Drosophila melanogaster: one gene and its partners. The protein of the gene in region 3 interacts with the protein of the main gene of each other region in a pairwise test. Each region holds a gene or a part of one and is shown on either strand. Other genes may lie near its edges. The genes, in order: CG14968, CG12773 and Cht9.

Evidence for each region.
Region 1: the proteins of Cht9 (region 3) and CG14968 interact in a two-hybrid assay, tested with the Drosophila melanogaster proteins (one large-scale study listed by BioGRID).
Region 2: the proteins of Cht9 (region 3) and CG12773 interact in a two-hybrid assay, tested with the Drosophila melanogaster proteins (one large-scale study listed by BioGRID).

What each region holds. Positions count from the first base shown.
Region 1 is NT_037436.4:3,298,801-3,305,072, reverse strand, and holds CG14968 (uncharacterized protein), read left to right. Parts: upstream 1-1,960; 5' UTR 1,961-2,025; intron 2,026-2,656; exon of another isoform or gene 2,657-2,741; intron 2,742-3,930; exon of another isoform or gene 3,931-4,189; 5' UTR 4,190-4,275; coding exon 4,276-4,350; intron 4,351-5,025; coding exon 5,026-5,550; 3' UTR 5,551-5,737; downstream 5,738-6,272.
Region 2 is NC_004354.4:1,349,115-1,355,812, reverse strand, and holds CG12773 (uncharacterized protein), read left to right. Parts: upstream 1-1,831; 5' UTR 1,832-2,324; coding exon 2,325-2,560; intron 2,561-2,614; coding exon 2,615-3,159; intron 3,160-3,325; coding exon 3,326-3,527; intron 3,528-3,584; coding exon 3,585-3,819; intron 3,820-3,886; coding exon 3,887-4,468; intron 4,469-4,532; coding exon 4,533-4,711; intron 4,712-4,775; coding exon 4,776-4,935; 3' UTR 4,936-6,190; downstream 6,191-6,698. Other genes in the region: CG11417 (uncharacterized protein), read right to left, coding at 1-1,718; MTPAP (mitochondrial poly(A) polymerase), read left to right, coding at 6,567-6,669.
Region 3 is NT_033778.4:21,067,444-21,071,004, forward strand, and holds Cht9 (chitinase 9), read right to left. Parts: upstream 1,844-3,561; 5' UTR 1,830-1,843; coding exon 1,769-1,829; exon of another isoform or gene 1,697-1,768; coding exon 1,255-1,696; exon of another isoform or gene 1,193-1,254; coding exon 589-1,192; 3' UTR 549-588; downstream 1-548. Other genes in the region: CG10527 (uncharacterized protein), read right to left, coding at 3,139-3,561.

The DNA of each region.
Region 1 (6,272 bases), on a different chromosome or scaffold from region 3:
CAGAAAGAATTTCATATCAAATAACCAGCGAGAACCGATGATTAAGTCAAAACAACCGGTTTTCGAGGATGGGAAATCGCGGGAAGGGGCCATAAATCAAGTATAACAAGTCCTAGACGAAAGGAACTCAAAAGCAAGCGCAGATTAAGATCGATTGTTGAAATGCAGATATGCTCAGCTACTACCTGACCACGCCCACACCCGCCCAGTTCGGTGACCCACGTGCAACAATAACAGACATGCTGATGCAGGTCTCCTGCAGGCAAATCCCCTACGTAAGATAATGGATATCATTTCCGAGATTATGTTTAACTAAGAAAAGAGATATAACACTCTTACAATCTATTTTTTGAAGTTTCATTAAAAATTGATAATGAGGCTAAGAATAATAGGTGTATTTAACTTACCTTAGCTTTAAGTCTGGAAATCGGTTCTTTGGTTGTTAAGGTTCCTAAGCTCCAATTGAAGAGGCTAAATTCAAAATACACATAATTGAAAATTAATAAAAAACCAAATCCAGTGTATACGGAGAGTATAGGACTTTAATAATTATTTGACTGAATATATGTATACTTTATAAAACTTTCGCTGCACTGTTGATAAAAATAAAACACGATATCTTTACTATTTTCGCAATTAAAACAGGGAAAACGCTTAAAAATGTTTACAAATGTATAAGTCACTTTGGTTTGACGATTTAGATAAGTTGATAAGTTGACTTTTTATCAACCATACAAATGCAAATTAAGATTCTTTGTATTTCCCCTGTTTGTGGCTAGCCGATATTCACTGTATTAACAAGGACGCAAGTGGGAGCGGGGAGAGCGGTGCACGGGCAGTGTTGCTGTTGTTTTGCGATAAAAAGAGTGGAGAAAGAAAAGAAAATAACTTCCAATTTTCGCCGTTGTTGGCTTTGTTGCTGCAAGAGCAAAGTGTCGACTGAAAAGTTGGCAAAATAAAATAGTGAAAATAGCATGGGCATCTTGGATTTTGCAGAAATTCCTTTGCTTCTCCTTTTTCCGCCTCAATTGGGGGTGGCACGCATACATACAAACAGAGTGTGTACATACATACACGTATGTATGCAAGTTAATTGTGCACAGTCACAATGGTCGAAAGAGAAGAAAGGGTGCGGGTCGGGAAAATCGAGAACGATTCACAATTGCACGTGCACTGGTCGCGATTTCCGTATATCGCCTCACTACTCCGCCGTAAATTACCGATTGGGCTGCCTGCCTTCTTGGTTGCTTTTTGCCGCACTTGGAGCGGAGCGAACAGCACAGACACAGATGTACAGCGCGGGTCCACGAATTTTTAATAAATAATTATTTTCCCGACTCAGTGTGACTGCAGCCACAGTCATCGAAAATCCATCCGGGCAGTTGGAAAATACCAATAATATATCGATAATATTTGTGCAGCTCTATCGGGTTAACAATAATGACTATCGACCGTTACAAGCGGTCTTTCAAAAATAAGTTTGAAAACTAGTAAATGTAGTAGAAACCAAAATAGGAGCCAGTAATGTAATTGAAATAAAAAACTGGCAGGCTTTTGATACATTTTGTCACTTTTAATACGAAATATTTTTGTGAAGGGCTACTTTACAATAAATCTATTTTTTTAGGCGTTACATTTCAATATAATGTAGCTTAAACTCTTTGTTTAACGCAAAACTACCAACAACTGCGTTTAACCCCTTTTAACCAACAAAAAGCTCGATGGCACTCAAGCTCAAAGTTGGTTTGTGTATTGGATGGGAAAGGTAAATGACTTACTAGTGATGTCGTGCCTTTATAAGGAAATTATCTAAAAAATAAAATATTTTGGCAAAAAAAAAGAATATATATATTTTCAGGGCAAAAGTGAGTTGTTAGTAGAAACATCCAACTTTAAAATCTTTTTTGAAGATAATATTCATGGCTAAAGCGGCATCACTGACCACGATCATTGGGGATTTCGTTAGTAGCGCGTTTACCGGCCGAGGAAACAGGTGTACAAAGAAACAAAGCCATCATAAAATCGGTAATTCCAAAGTGACTACCCCCATAATCAATTCAGAAATCAGCGGAATTATATTGAGCACGTTTCAGCATTTAGTTTAACTCAAGACTTATTTCCATTTTTCGTCAAAAAGTCAATAAGACTTTTACCTATTTTACCTTTGCTGAATTCCCCGTGTGCGTGAAGTAGTGAGTGATAAGATTAGGCGAATGGGTAAATGTTCCCTACGTGATAACAGGCAATTGGAACTTGAAGAGAAAATAAAGTGAATAAAGTGTAAATAAAAGAAACCAAATTTAGTAAATTAGTCACTGTGAATGGAAGGGAGTTAGTACGAGCTCCACATACGCAAATCTATATGTGCGACAAATGACAGTCATCGGCAGTGCCCGTAAACAAATTATGATAAAAAAGATAAATCTATTATACGAACAGAGGAGATATGCTCATATGAGCAGCTTCCGGCTTTCGTACCGCTTAAACTGAAATGTCCAGTGGAAAATTATCTAAATTGGACTGCGAGTGCTACCGAACCTGTCTCTGATATTGTTATTGTTATGGTTGTTGGCATAATGATAGTGGCAATGATATGTAGGCATATTGTATGGGGAGAAAATATGTAAAACACATATAGTATATAGTATGCCGTACAGAATAAATTGCCATTTTCGAACAACTTCTAAAATGTAAAATTCGTTAATAACCCTAAAGTAAACAACGATAAGGAGAGTACAAAGGTGAGCGTAAGGCTGAGATTTATATGGCCATAGATTGGACTAGCGTGGCAAACGTTGTAATGTGGCTAAAACAGCGGGCTTCAAATTTGGTAATATATCAAAATTCGATAGCTGTGAACGTGATCTTCCTGAAAATCTGGATCAGGCAACTTGTAAATGGCGTTAGAACAAAAGATCAGATGAGCACACAATTAGTCGTGGGTTTTGTGTCTACAACACAGGCCATTGTCACTAGTTATCCGCTTGGGTCATTGGCATTAAAATGGTAGTCAAAGTAGAACAAAAAGCTAAAAAAAAGTATTGGCTGTTGCACAGAAAGCTTCCCCTCTCGCTCGCAAATGACGTCACACAGGTGAAATGCATTGCACTGAATTTATTTCCATTCGTTTCAGTTTTGGTTTTAATTCGGTTTTCTCTCGTCGGTCATTAATTGGCAGACATGCAACTATTGCAGCATGGCCATTGTAATATATACACATGTACACATATGTACATATATCCGGTATAATGCTCCTATATTCATTGGGCAATTGGAGTGGTCAGCGGGCTGCGTGAGGAAATATTAATAATACATTTCTAATAAATAGTGTGCAGCATGGAAAAGTGCGTGTGGAAAAAGTGATTTAAAAAGTTGGTGATCGAATACCCTGCTTGAGTGGCGTTGACTGGGTTATCAATTGCAACATACTCGTTTTACCTCATAATTATTTTATGATTAGATTTAAAATGCTTTACTACTTGCGGGAATTTCCGCTGATCCACTTAAAAAAAATTGTTGCCGTTAGGAGTGCTAAAAATCACAATGTAACTCAGTCATCCTTTTGAAAGATAAGATAAAGACAATAATATAACGCATTCATCCTTTTAAGAAACGATAAGATAAGACATCTATTTAAAAGACTCATTAAGCATTTGATATTTCTTTTCACTACTTATTTCTCTCAGTGCCGGGCTGTCGCTTCTAATATCAGTTGTTTGCGCTTAGGCAGCGATACCGCGTGAGAGAAAAAAGTTATCTGAGCACTGCTTTTGTTTAGCCCATTTGTTTTGCCTGCGCTCTTTTCTGTTTACCTGCGCTCGAGTGGGAGGGAGGGGAGGGGAGGGGGACCAGGTGGCATTGGGAGCGAGTGAGAGGGAGTGGAGCTACCTGGGGGCACAACTTGCGACACCTTTTGCCGCCGATCGCTAGTTCAGTAGCAATCCGTAGCCGGCGACAGCAACAACAAGCCCAAACAGAACCATTAGTCGACCCGACCGATATTCAGCGGAATATAACATATATAGGTTCAAAAAGCGCACACAAAGTAAACCATGTAAAATTCAGCGATTACGGTAGAGATATGGTAATGCAACGGTGGATGTGAACTCCGTAAGATGGCGCATAAAATATCCGCGAGATACATTTAATGGGAGCATTACTCAAGCTCGTGTTTTTTGCGCCCTTTCAGTTGGTTTGCGGTGAATGCGTTCAACGGTGGATCTTCGCTTGCACCTTTCGCGATAGACGACATACGGATACAGATACAGCTACAGAATGGCCTCCAACAACAGTAGTACCACCGATCTGGACAGCCAGGTCAATGTGGAGGATTTGCCCATAACGTTCAAGGTGAGTGTTCACATGGCGAAATGCGTTTTCAAATTTAAATGCTGTGAAATATGTGGCGCAAGTTCAGGTACCAATCCCCATTAAGACCACTTACGTATATGACCGAAAATACACGGAAAAAAATTAGGTACACTGAAAATTAATGATAAAATGAAATGAGTATATTGGTTCCATATTGGCTACTTATACATATGACAAAATCCACTGTTAAAATGTCTATCCTAATTTCTCGATGAACTCTTTTTTTATGAGTGCATAAACGAACAAAAGCAGACATCTGAACATAATACCACCCGCACATGAGACATGACCAAAAAAAAAGAGCCAGACACGCATGCGTCACGCCCTGCTGAACTTCACTTTGGGGGCGGTGAGGGGAAAGGGGCGTGGCAGTGGCACCACATGAGCAACAGCAACAGCTTTCTGGCTTGGCTGTGGACATCCGGTCGCAGGTCGGATGCAAATGAAGCGACTCTAACGGCAACGCATGCGCAGCGGAAACCAATGCCACCGATGAATAATACCACATCGTCCATGAACATATATTTGTTTACTCACGTAAAATAGGAATATTTGGTTATATACTCATTGGAATTTTTTTTTTTTTTGACTAAATGCAGTGTAGAATCGGCAATCTTTTTTTTTTAATATATCGTATACATTTTCTCCCTGCAGGTGAAGTACATTGGTTCCGAAGTGGCACGTGGCTTATGGGGCATTAAGTATACGCGTCGTCCGGTGGACATAATGGTGGGCGTGGCCAAGAACCTGCCGCCCAATAAGGTGCTGCCCAACTGCGAACTGAAGGTGTCCACCGACGGAGTCCAGCTGGAGATCATATCGCCAAAGGCCAGCATCAATCACTGGAGCTATCCCATCGACACGATCTCGTATGGCGTTCAGGACCTGGTCTACACAAGGGTCTTTGCCATGATCGTGGTGAAGGACGAGTCGAGTCCGCATCCCTTTGAGGTTCACGCCTTCGTGTGCGACAGTCGTGCGATGGCGCGGAAGTTGACCTTTGCCCTGGCCGCCGCCTTCCAGGATTACTCGCGACGGGTCAAGGAGGCAACCGGTGAGGAGGAGGGCGAGGCCACGCCCAGCGACACTATTACACCCACGCGACACAAGTTCGCCATCGATCTGCGAACGCCGGAGGAAATCCAGGCTGGCGAACTGGAGCAGGAAACGGAGGCGTAGTTATCCTGGTGATCCTGCGTTGGCTCCGTCAATGAGATGTGATGTGTTAGTTACTTAACGTCCAGTGTTCACTGTATCTGTAAATTGTGGTTCTCTCACCTGGTAGTTGCCTCATACAGCTAATTACCCAAAGCCTAAGTGTTAATACGATTTGTAAACGATTTTCTAAAATAAATTACGAATATGGTATGTTTGGCTATTTGAATTGGGCTACAACCTGTTGATATGCCACTTGCAGTTTGTGTCCTAAGTCTTTTGATTTTTAAGCACATATATTACAAGTGGTGAAAAAAAATAAGGATTATAGAATTATTTTTAAATATTGTTACTTTATTTTAAGTTCAACTATAAGATAAAATTGTTTTAGGTTGTTTCTAAGCGTACCATCTCTACCGTTCAGAAATTGAATGCGATTAGGCAAAACACAGGACACTCAAACCTCTGCACGATGGAGTTGATTAGCTGGCCAAAAAGTGTTCCTTACCTATTTTACCCCACCTACATCAAACAATTTTGTTATTTAATTTTTAATATTTTTATTTTAAGATTTTTTTGCAATTTTTTTTGTAGTTTGTTTCTTTAACTGGTCGGAACAACAATTCTAAACTTAAATTTCAACGCTCGTCCGCAATTATCCTTTGAGAAATGGCCATAAAACTAGGAAATCAAAAAATTATTAAATTTATTTGCCTAGGTGCAAATGAGTGGGATAGCGTATTGGG
Region 2 (6,698 bases), on a different chromosome or scaffold from region 3:
AAATCGATGCCATCGGGCACCATGGACTCATCGCTGTCCTCACCGGCATCGCCTCCTCTGGCTTCGATCTGGCGCTGGCGGCGCTGTTCCTTGCGCTGCCTGTTCTTCTCGCTGCGTTTCTGGATCACCTTCTCGATGGGCGTGAGCTCGGCCTGGGCTTGCTGCTCCGGCTGTGCCTCTTCGTGCTGGGGCTCCACGTTCCAGGTCATTTCCATTTCGTACTTCTGCTCCTTCTCCTTCTTTTCCTGCTCCAGGATGTCGGCCAGCAAGTTTTTGTAGGTGGCAATGCGTTCCTGCTTAGAAGTCTTTTTGGGCTTGCTCTTCTGTGGGTCCTCTGAAACCGCCTTTTGAGCAGCCTCCTCCGCCGGGGATTCCTCTGCCTCAGAATCCTCTTCCTCACTACTGTACGCTACTATCTGGCGCAGCTCCTTGTCCGTGAGCTTGTCAACCTGCCCGCTGGAGAGCTTGTCACCCAGCTCACGACGGTCCAGCGCCGTCTCGTCCCAGGTTAGATCCACCTTGGCCTGCTGCAACGCCGTGGTGGTGAACTGTCGCGGCTTATAGCTGCTGGCATCCGGCAGCTCGAAGCATTCGTCCGACGGCGTGTCCTCCTCGAACGAGGTGTCGTCCGGGATGAAGCGCAAGTCCACGCGCGTGGCGGAGCTCTCGTACTCGATACCATCGCACTCCTTGTATACCTTGTCGGCCGTGTCTATGCTGTCGCACTCGACGACAGCATAGTAGTAGCGAAGTCGGTTTAGCTGGTACTGACGCAGCTTCTCCATGTGGTAGTCCTCCCCCTCTTCGGCATCGCTGTCCTGCTGGCGTACGAGCTCCTCATCGGAGTCGTCTTCTGGCTCCACGCGCTCCACCAGTTCCTTTGGGCCGTGCACTTCCTCCTCGGCCATGCGCGCTTTCCCGAACTCTGAGGGGTATATCTTGACGCTGAGAATGCTACCGCCGGGCGGCAGGAAGGAGCTGAGCATGACCATTAGATCCTCGGCCCGGATGCGGTCCCAGTCCATGTTGCAAACAGCCAGCCGGCGGGTGCTCTCCTCGGTGTGCTCGGCATCGTTGTCCAGTTCGCCCCACACGTGGTCTATCTGCAGTTCTGGACCCTCGTCCTCATCATCGCTGTCCTCGTCTGAGGAGGAGTCGGTATACAGGCGGCCTTCTCCGCGGGCGTAGTCTATCTCTGGGTTGGTCAGGCGCTGACGAAGACTCTGTGACACCTCGGAACTATCGCTTTCCAGAGTATCGTTGCTCTCCTCCTTCTCCAAGTTGGCTATGGCTCGCTCCTCGGCGCGCCGCTCTTGTTGCTCTGCCTCCGCCTCGGAGTCAAGATCGGATTCCTTTTTGGCAGGCTCCTCGCCGCTGCTGCTCTCGTTCTCGTCCAGTTCGTAGAACTTTCTGAGGTCCTCGGCGTTGCTCTTGTTGACCGGGCGGCCGTACTTGTCCACGGTGTACTTCACCTTGAACTTGTCGTCCGTGAACATGCCCTGGAAACGCTTGTCGATCTTGACCTTTCGCTGCACTTTTGGAACGCCGCGAAATCGGGGATCGGTCAGCAGGTGCTGGAACCGAGAGTCCTGCCAAATTCCGTTCTCCGAATCATTGGCTCCAGCTGCCTTCCCCATGTTGGCCTGCGACGAGCTCGGTGCCTCCTTCTTCGTCGTCTGCTTGTCCAGCTTCCCGGACTTGTCCTTCTTCTTGCCCATTTCCCGAGGAGCCCAGTAAAATACAAACAAAACGTAAGCACGTGCGGCGCGTCACACCGGTTTGGTTATCGATATCGGATGGTAGCGATAGAACTTAGAAACAGATAGGCGGCCTATCGTCTAACGCATATCGCAGCCCACCGAAAAGTCATCGATGACGACTTCTTGTAGTTTACCAATAAGCAAGTGTTTTTATTTAGCTTTTTGAGCGTTTATTGAGTGCGGTTACAGTTACTCAAGTGCGACCAAGACGATGCCCGCCGTTTCCCGCTTCGGTCGCCAGTGACTCGAATCCAGCGCCTGCAGCACCTCCATCGGATCTGCGATCTTCAGAGGATTCTCCACTGGCTGCCTGCGTGGATGTGCTCGCACTTGGACGTTTGGATGTTTGGGTGTAGCAGTGGGAGCGCAACGCCAAGAAATAGCAATCAGTTAATTGCCGCGATTACGCCCGAGTAGTCGTCAGATAACCCGCGAGAACAGCACAACGCAAAAACTGCTCAACTCCACGGGAGCAGCAGCAACAACAAGGCCAGCAAACAACTGCCAAAAGCGGTACGGGAAAAGCGGGGTGGAGCGGAGTGTGCGGTGCGAAGCGGAGCGGAGATGACTAATAGCTCTGAGGGCAATGGCAACGGCGGCCGACGCACTGTCGACTGGCAGAGATTTGGACTTGGCGGCGACGAGGACGGGGATGTGGCGGTGACCAGCTTTCGCCAGCGGACCAACAACAACACCGGCGGATTTGTGGATTTAGGTAACGAGTACACGTACGCGGCTGGTGGCCACCATGCGTCCGGGGCCAACGAGATCTTTGCGGGCGAGCAGGGCGACAAGCCGTGGTAAGTGAATCAGGCAACCCTTCTGGCCAGGATCCTAAGCCTCTTACTCAACAGGTGGCGCTCGAACTTCTTCATCTCCCAGCCCGTGCTATTCGGCACCTGGGACGGAGTGTTCACCTCCTGCCTAATCAACGTGTTTGGAGTGATCGTGTTCCTGCGATCCGGATGGATCGTCGCACAGGCAGGCATTCTGAACGCGGTGCTGATCATCTTTTGCACGGTGGTCATAGCTCTCGTCAGCGTCCTCTCGGCAATCGGTATCTGCGAGCGGTGCCGTGTGGAAAGCGGTGGCGTGTACTTTCTCATAGCCCACACGCTTGGTTCCCGATTCGGAGGCGCCTTGGGTTTGCTCTACTGCTTTGGCCAGGCGGTGGGATGCGCCCTTAACGTAATGGGATTTGGCGAATCAATGGCTGGACTAGTGGGACTCGAGGGCAGCAAGTGGGCCATCCGCGGGTTCGCTACGGCAGCGGTGCTCCTGTTGGGCTGCATCAACGTGGCCGGCGTCAAGTGGGTCATCAAGCTTCAGTTTATACTGCTCATGATACTGCTGATCTCGGCGCTGGACTTCATGGTGGGCAGCTTCACTAGTGAGGCCAGTGAGTACATTATTCATATGCGATTGTTAGCCATGTCCAGTGACTAATCGCTTCCTAAGTAGATTATGGCATTTTTAAATAATCTGTTGAATTTAGTTGGAATATGATTCAAAAGAAGTTGCAAAGATTTTATGCCAACAAGCTATTAATCTGGTTTTATTTGCAGGTGGCGGCTTTAATGGCTGGGCGAGCGGAAACTTCGTGGAGAACCTATGGCCAAAGTACGACGACGGCTACTCCTGGTTCCGTGTGTTCGGCGTCTTCTTTCCCACCGTCACCGGAGTGCTGTCGGGCATTAACATGAGCGGCGACTTGCGCGCGCCGTCCACGGACATTCCCAATGGCACCCTGGCCGCCTTTGGCACCTCGTAAGGTTTACACGTCGCCGGGAAATCAGTAGCTCTTGACATCTGATTTCTTTGCAGCACGTTCCTGTACTTGGTGTTCGTCCTGTTTTTGGGGGCCACCTGCCAACGAAGCTTCCTGTATACTGACTACATGATCTCTGTCAAGGTGTCTGCCGTGCATTTCCTGCTGTTGGCCGGCATTTATGTGTCCAGCATGTCCTCCTGCCTGGGCGCCATGTACGGCACTCCGCGCGTCCTTCAGAGCATCGCCAAAGAGAGCGTCATTCCGGGCATCGATATCCTGGGAAAGGGTGTAAGTACCAGTTGAACAATAAGATAAGGAAAATAACGTAATCACAACTTTTCGAAATCTTTGCTAGCGTGGTCCCAACAAAGTGCCTTTATACGCAATGGCCATCGTGGCCCTAGTCACTGTCACCTTCATTATCGTGGGAGACATCAACTTCTTGGCGCCGATCGTGACCATGCCCTTCCTGCTCACATATGCCTGTATCGACTACGCCTACTTTGCGCTGGCCCAGACCTTCGACATTCAGGAGCAGCGCGAGGAGCGTTTCCGCATCCAGGCGTCGAGTCCCAGCTACGAGACGCGCCGTTACGGCAGTGTTTCGGACACGGGCAACGACCTGGACCTCCTGTTCCCTGATCGGGTGCGCCACAAGAACCTGCAGAGTCCGCAGAACTCACCGCTGCACCAAACAGTGCCCCTGGAGTTTGACAACGAGGGTCCCAGCACCTCCAACCAGGCCCAGTCTTCGGAACGGAGAACGGGGCACGAGGCGGACACCACACTGGCCGTGGAGCAGGCAGTCGCGCAGGCCGGCGTCGAACAGGACCAGGGCGACGAGGCCGAACCGATAGCCCCGATCCGTCCGCCCATCCACTCCAAGACGAAAAACTGGTACTCCGGCTACTGTAATCGCTGGGCCTCTCTGCTGGGGGTACGTCTGCATAAAGGAGACGACGCTTCTCCGGAAAGCTTACTCATTTATGACTTTCACACAGGCCTTCACTAAACTGCTGGTTATGCTGCTAGTCAACTGGTACTACGCCCTCACCTGCTTCTTGGTGGTGTTCGTCGTATGGTTCTATGTGGGCACAGCCAATCCGGCCGTGAAGCCGGGTCTCACTGCGGAGTTTAACTTCTTCGCCTGGCTGAAGAGCGTCATATTCCGGTGCTTCGGGTGAGTTTGCTTGGCGCTTCTGAAGTATCCAACTAACTGCCATCTCGCTCCATTTGATGCACAGCAAACGGATGAACGAGTACGAGCAGATAGTCGTGACACCCTCGTGCCCAGGCGTTGATCTCTCACCCACGCAGCTCAACGAGCAGAACGAGGACTTCCGTCCGCGGCCCAACTACCACCACTCGTCCGTTATCGAGGGTCGCCTCATAGATGACATCTAGACCGAGTCCAGGGTCTAGAGCACAGGTTCACCTGTATGCGGGCCGGGCAACGGGGCAGGCGGCGTGGCTGTGGAAAGCAATAGTCGAGTGCATTTCTCTACCGCTAAGCAGTACTACGTTTAACTAAAGTGAAGTAGAGCCGGCGAGGCAGCCGAACTAAACTTAACCCTATGTGTGTTTGTAAATCTGTACGAATGTATTTGATGTATAGTTAGGATAGCGACAGCTGAGGTCACGATGGTAGTATTCCAAACTCGGTCTTAGTTCGTTTTGCTTTAACAAAATTTGGAGTCTGTGACGCATTTTAACTGGGACTCTCCCACGATGTAGTGCTTAGATAAGAAAATGTTGATAGTGTATTGATTTTTAGCTTTTTACTAGTTGTTAAAACGTTCGGAGGTCAGCCAAATCAGAGCACATTTCAGTTGCGGAGGCTCCATTCTGACCACAGCTGTCCAGTCCAGCGTTTACCACCGTGTCCATCCCCGTGTCCACGCCTCGCCCACACGCACACACCCAACTTCAGAGGACACTCACACAACAACTCAGAGCACTTTCTAATTATTAATTCTAATGTATTAATTCTTAAGCTTCGCATTCTTTCGATGTGTTCCTTGCTCTCGTAGTTCTTCAACGATTACTCCTTAGTTGAGAGCGAATAAGTTGTTGCTAAATGGATATGTTTCCAGTGTTCCGCACACAAAACAGAACGCATTTCGAGGAGACATATGTGATACTGAGATAATAAGTGAAACCAAAACCAGAAATCAAACTCGATGATTTGGCGCCTTGCATTTAAGACGACAACACACACAGCACACAGAGCACAATGAAATTGTTACAGAACACAAGAATGAGCCACATAACACAAACAACACCTAAGCTAAGCTATAATCCTGTATTACCATGTCGGTGGACAATAACAGTCCTAATTGATAATATATATAAACCTGTACCCGCGTACACTCACTCGGCATACGATATCAGCAATAACCGCACTCTATATACACCCAATATATGTATATATATCACTCGCATATATCCGATATATACACCTCACGTTGATTGACTAATGTAACCGATCCAGGAGTGTTAGGAAGATGACTAACTAACGTATATTTAAAAAATATACCCAATCGTGTCCCTTTTGTACGTGTTTAGTCTAATTAAACCTAGTTTTACGAAGCCCGTTCATCCCACGGCAAAACCCGCATGTAATAATAACAATAATAACACAATAACTGGGACGTGAAATAAAAAGTTTATGAAATTACAAACTTTTGAGTTTGGCGCCACCTAGAGTAATCGATAGATTTTCAGGGATGCATAAGCTTCTTTTGGAAGATTGGCATTGCAAAAACCTCTGCACTAATGGTGATTGCCTAAATGAAAGTGGAGCTATAATGTGCTTAGGATGGCAAAATGATATGTTTTGTTATCATCTAACTCTTAAGAATGCTAAAATAAGCCACGGTTTTGGGACCAGGGCTGCACACCCAGCGAACGCGACCGATAACCAACTCGACCTAACCTCAAAAATACAGCCCAACAATATTCGGTTAAATTCCAGATCCGAAATCACCCACACCAAGTGGGCCTAGGACTTGACCTGCCCACACCCCAAGCCCGCCATGAACAGCTTAGTGCGACGCAGCGCCCAGCAGCTGAGCCTCTGGCGTACATATTGCATAAAGCACAATGCTTCAGAGGCGGCTTCTCCCGGACGGAACGCAGGTGAGCCGATTCTGGCCGAGATCTGTTCT
Region 3 (3,561 bases):
TAAATTAAATAAATAAACTTGTATTCAATGAATAACAAAAGAAGCATATTTATTCATTCATGATTTATACTTTTTACTAGAAATGTAGAACTACTGTCATCACATGAAAATATAACGCACTTTTGTAGATATGGGTAATTGGATTTAAATCTGACATCAAAAATTACAATACTTGAGAACTTTTACATTATTATGATGTTAAATAAAACATATTGTTGTAAAGTTATATATATATATATATATAATCATAACTGAAATACATATACTCTACGACTAAACAGAAATTTACACAAGTAATCAATTAATATATTACTTATTCTCATTCAATTGAAGGATTCAAAGGATTCTGGAACAGGATACTAAATCCCTATAAAATTATTCTTATTATTTGCTTTTCTTTCGAATTCATTTAAAGTTTGTTACGGATTTGTTTACAACCAGTTTAAAAGGTTTCCATATTGATAGATCTGGTTTTCACTTAAGACTTCTTGTGAAATAACTTTTGAAACATTCTCCAAAGTCACAAACAGCAGTGTGGTTTTTTTTTTCAATTTTCAAACATTTATTCTTAACAATCGGATTCTCCTTTTACCAACGCAGCTTCCTGTTGATGGTCTTGAGCAGAGGATAGGTCTCACCGCACTGACCGCGGTAGTCGTCCGTCTCTAGGGACCAGATCATGGCACCGGCCAGACCCTTGGACAAAGCAAAGTCCATCTTGTACTGGACACTGAGCACGTTGTCGAAGCTCACCCACTGGTCACCGGAGTAGGCGTATGGAGCGGCATTGTCGTAGTCGAAAACGGTGTGCCAGTTGTTCTGGCAGATCTCGTTGTAGCCCAAGTAGCCGGTAGAGCCGGTGTAGGATCCAGCGGAGCCCTCGCCGCGGCACGGTGCACCCGGCCAGTTCTGGGAGGAGTCCGACAGCTGGAAGGAGCGTCCGTAAGTGCCCACGCCGAGCACCAGCTTGTTGGCCGGAGCACCTTGGCTCAGCCAAAAGTTAATGGCGTTCTCCACGGCCCACTGGGGGGCATTGAAACCGGTCTGGCCATCGGAGGCCATGGCAAAGTCGTAGGTCATCACGTTGATAAAGTCGACCTGCTGAGCAATGTTGGCGATTTCGTAGGATGCACTGGCCAATGATTCACCGGCGCCCACCGCAATACCCAATTCATAGCCATAGGGAGCGAACCTATAGGACATAAATCATTTAAAACTAAAGTATGCTTCGGTAGTGGCTCCTCCACTACTCACGCCTCCTTAATCTCGCGCAGCAGAGTCACAAAGTTGGCACGATCGTTCCAGTTGCCACCACGCTGGTTGGGGTACTCCCAGTCCAGATCCAGACCATCGAATCCATGGTTGCGCAGCAGGTTCAGGGCGGAGTTAATGAAGTTCTGGCGCTTGTACCAATCGCCGGACATCGAGGAGTACTTGGTGGAGCCCTCGTTCCAGCCGCCGACCACGGCCAGGACTTTCAGGTTGGAGTTTTGGTTCTTCAGGCTAATCGCCTGGTTGATGAAGCCCAGATCGTAGTCCAGCCAAGTGTCCAGGGATTGGATCTCACCATTGTCGTTGATTCCGAAGAAGGAGTAGCTCAGATGGGTGCACAGACCGGCATCGATATTGGACACATCGAACTTGCCATTGCCGCTGCGGTAGTTGGCCCAGGTGCCCCAGTAGCAGTTGACGATGCCTGGATAACAGATCAGGAATACAGATCGATTAGCTTTTAAGCCAACACCAAATTCGCGTAGATTAGACTTACGTTCAGCACCGATAACCTGGCTAAGGCAGAGGACAGCGAGTAGTGCCAATAACTTTCCCATTGCACGAAATGCTTATTACTTCTTGTTCCATCTAGGTATTTATACCCTTCCGCACCGATCTTATCAATACCATTATCTTTATCAGCTGTGTCGGCTACTCCACTCCAATTGTCGGACTAATTTATTGGGTCTTCGTCGCGTGCTTTGAATTGTAATATTTATACTAGCGACCGGTATTTGTATCTCAAGTACAGATTCATTTTTTGTTTACTATCCCTTAAGTTGTAAATTTTCTCAAGAGGTACTTCAACATTTAAAATGTTTGTGATATTTGGCAAACTTAAGTAATCAAGGCATATTAGGTTTAATAGGAACATGAATACTTTGTCCTTTAATATTTTGGATCGAATTTTAAGTTGATAAGTATCTTAAGCTTGTGTCCAAACATTATTACCTCTAATCAATGAGACCAATTTAATATAGACTATTATATTTTATAAGCTTCACATTGGCAGAAGGGTATTTTTGGGTCTGTAAATATGATACTTTTATTATTTTAAAGCCATTTCAAAGCCAGGTGTTCAAAGAAACATAAAAAGGTTAGTTGCTGACCTAAAAACTTCACATGCTGGTTACTGACTTTAATATAGTTGATAGACTAAACCGACTCAGTTATACCCTTAATTTAAATGTAAATAGGCCAATATGATATGTTTCATTCATTTTAAAAATGAATAAAAGAAAACATGTTTTGGTATAAATATATATATATATAGCAATATGTTCCTTGTACTGCCAACATTTCAACTAACTTTGTATGAGTGTTTTATGGGTTCACTGATAATGAGATTAGGAATAGATTTTCATTGAGTGGGAGTAAATTATTTTCAATTGCCTGCTTAAACTAATCTATAGATTTCAGTCATTTCATTTCAGTCATGATTTTATTAAAAAAAAAGAATGTTTGATACTAATTTCATTGAGTACAAATGGATTAAAAGGTGATTAATGATTGCGATAGAACTGTTAGATTCACTAAAACCAAAATCCAACTAATCTTAACACACCACTTTTTTGAAAAATTAAAGCAGCTATTCAGCTTATTTTATATTTATTTCCAAGCTTAATGAATGCAAATAAGTGCCTATTTCAGATATGTTATTTTCTTAAACATATTTATTGTTTATTAACCAATTTCGTTGAACAATGTAATAAACTTTTCGACATAATATAGAGATTCTTTAACAGTTTTGAGTAGAAATGCACATATAAATAAAATAAAATTTCTGCGACCAGTTGAACTGTAAAGCGCTCAGATTAACTGATTTAAAACGTTTTGTTTCAGTGCGTTGGACATTCGATCCGTGGCTTAGTTGGTCACATAGATTTCGAACTCCTTGTAGGCCAGCTCCTCGCCGCCGTACGGAATGTAGCAGCATCCGTGGGAGGGCTGCACCTTGCCCACAGTGATAGTTCCGTCGTGGGTGGCACGGCCGATGAACAGTGGTTCGCCCTCGGCGGTCTCTCCGGCAGGCAGGGCGTTGGGCGGGATGTTTCCGGCATCCACGGGCAACCACTGGCCGCCGCCGGCGCACAGCACCTCGTATTCGGCGTGGCCGTGCTCACCACCTCCCCAGGCTACGTAGGTCACTCCGTGGGAGGGATGCAGCTTGCCGGGAATGAGGTCGCCCTCATGGCGGGCACGGGCGATGTACAGCTGCTCGCTGCTGTCGAATCCTCCCTCGAGGGCGTTGGGTGGCACCTCACCGTTGGCGGCGGGCACCCAGCATCC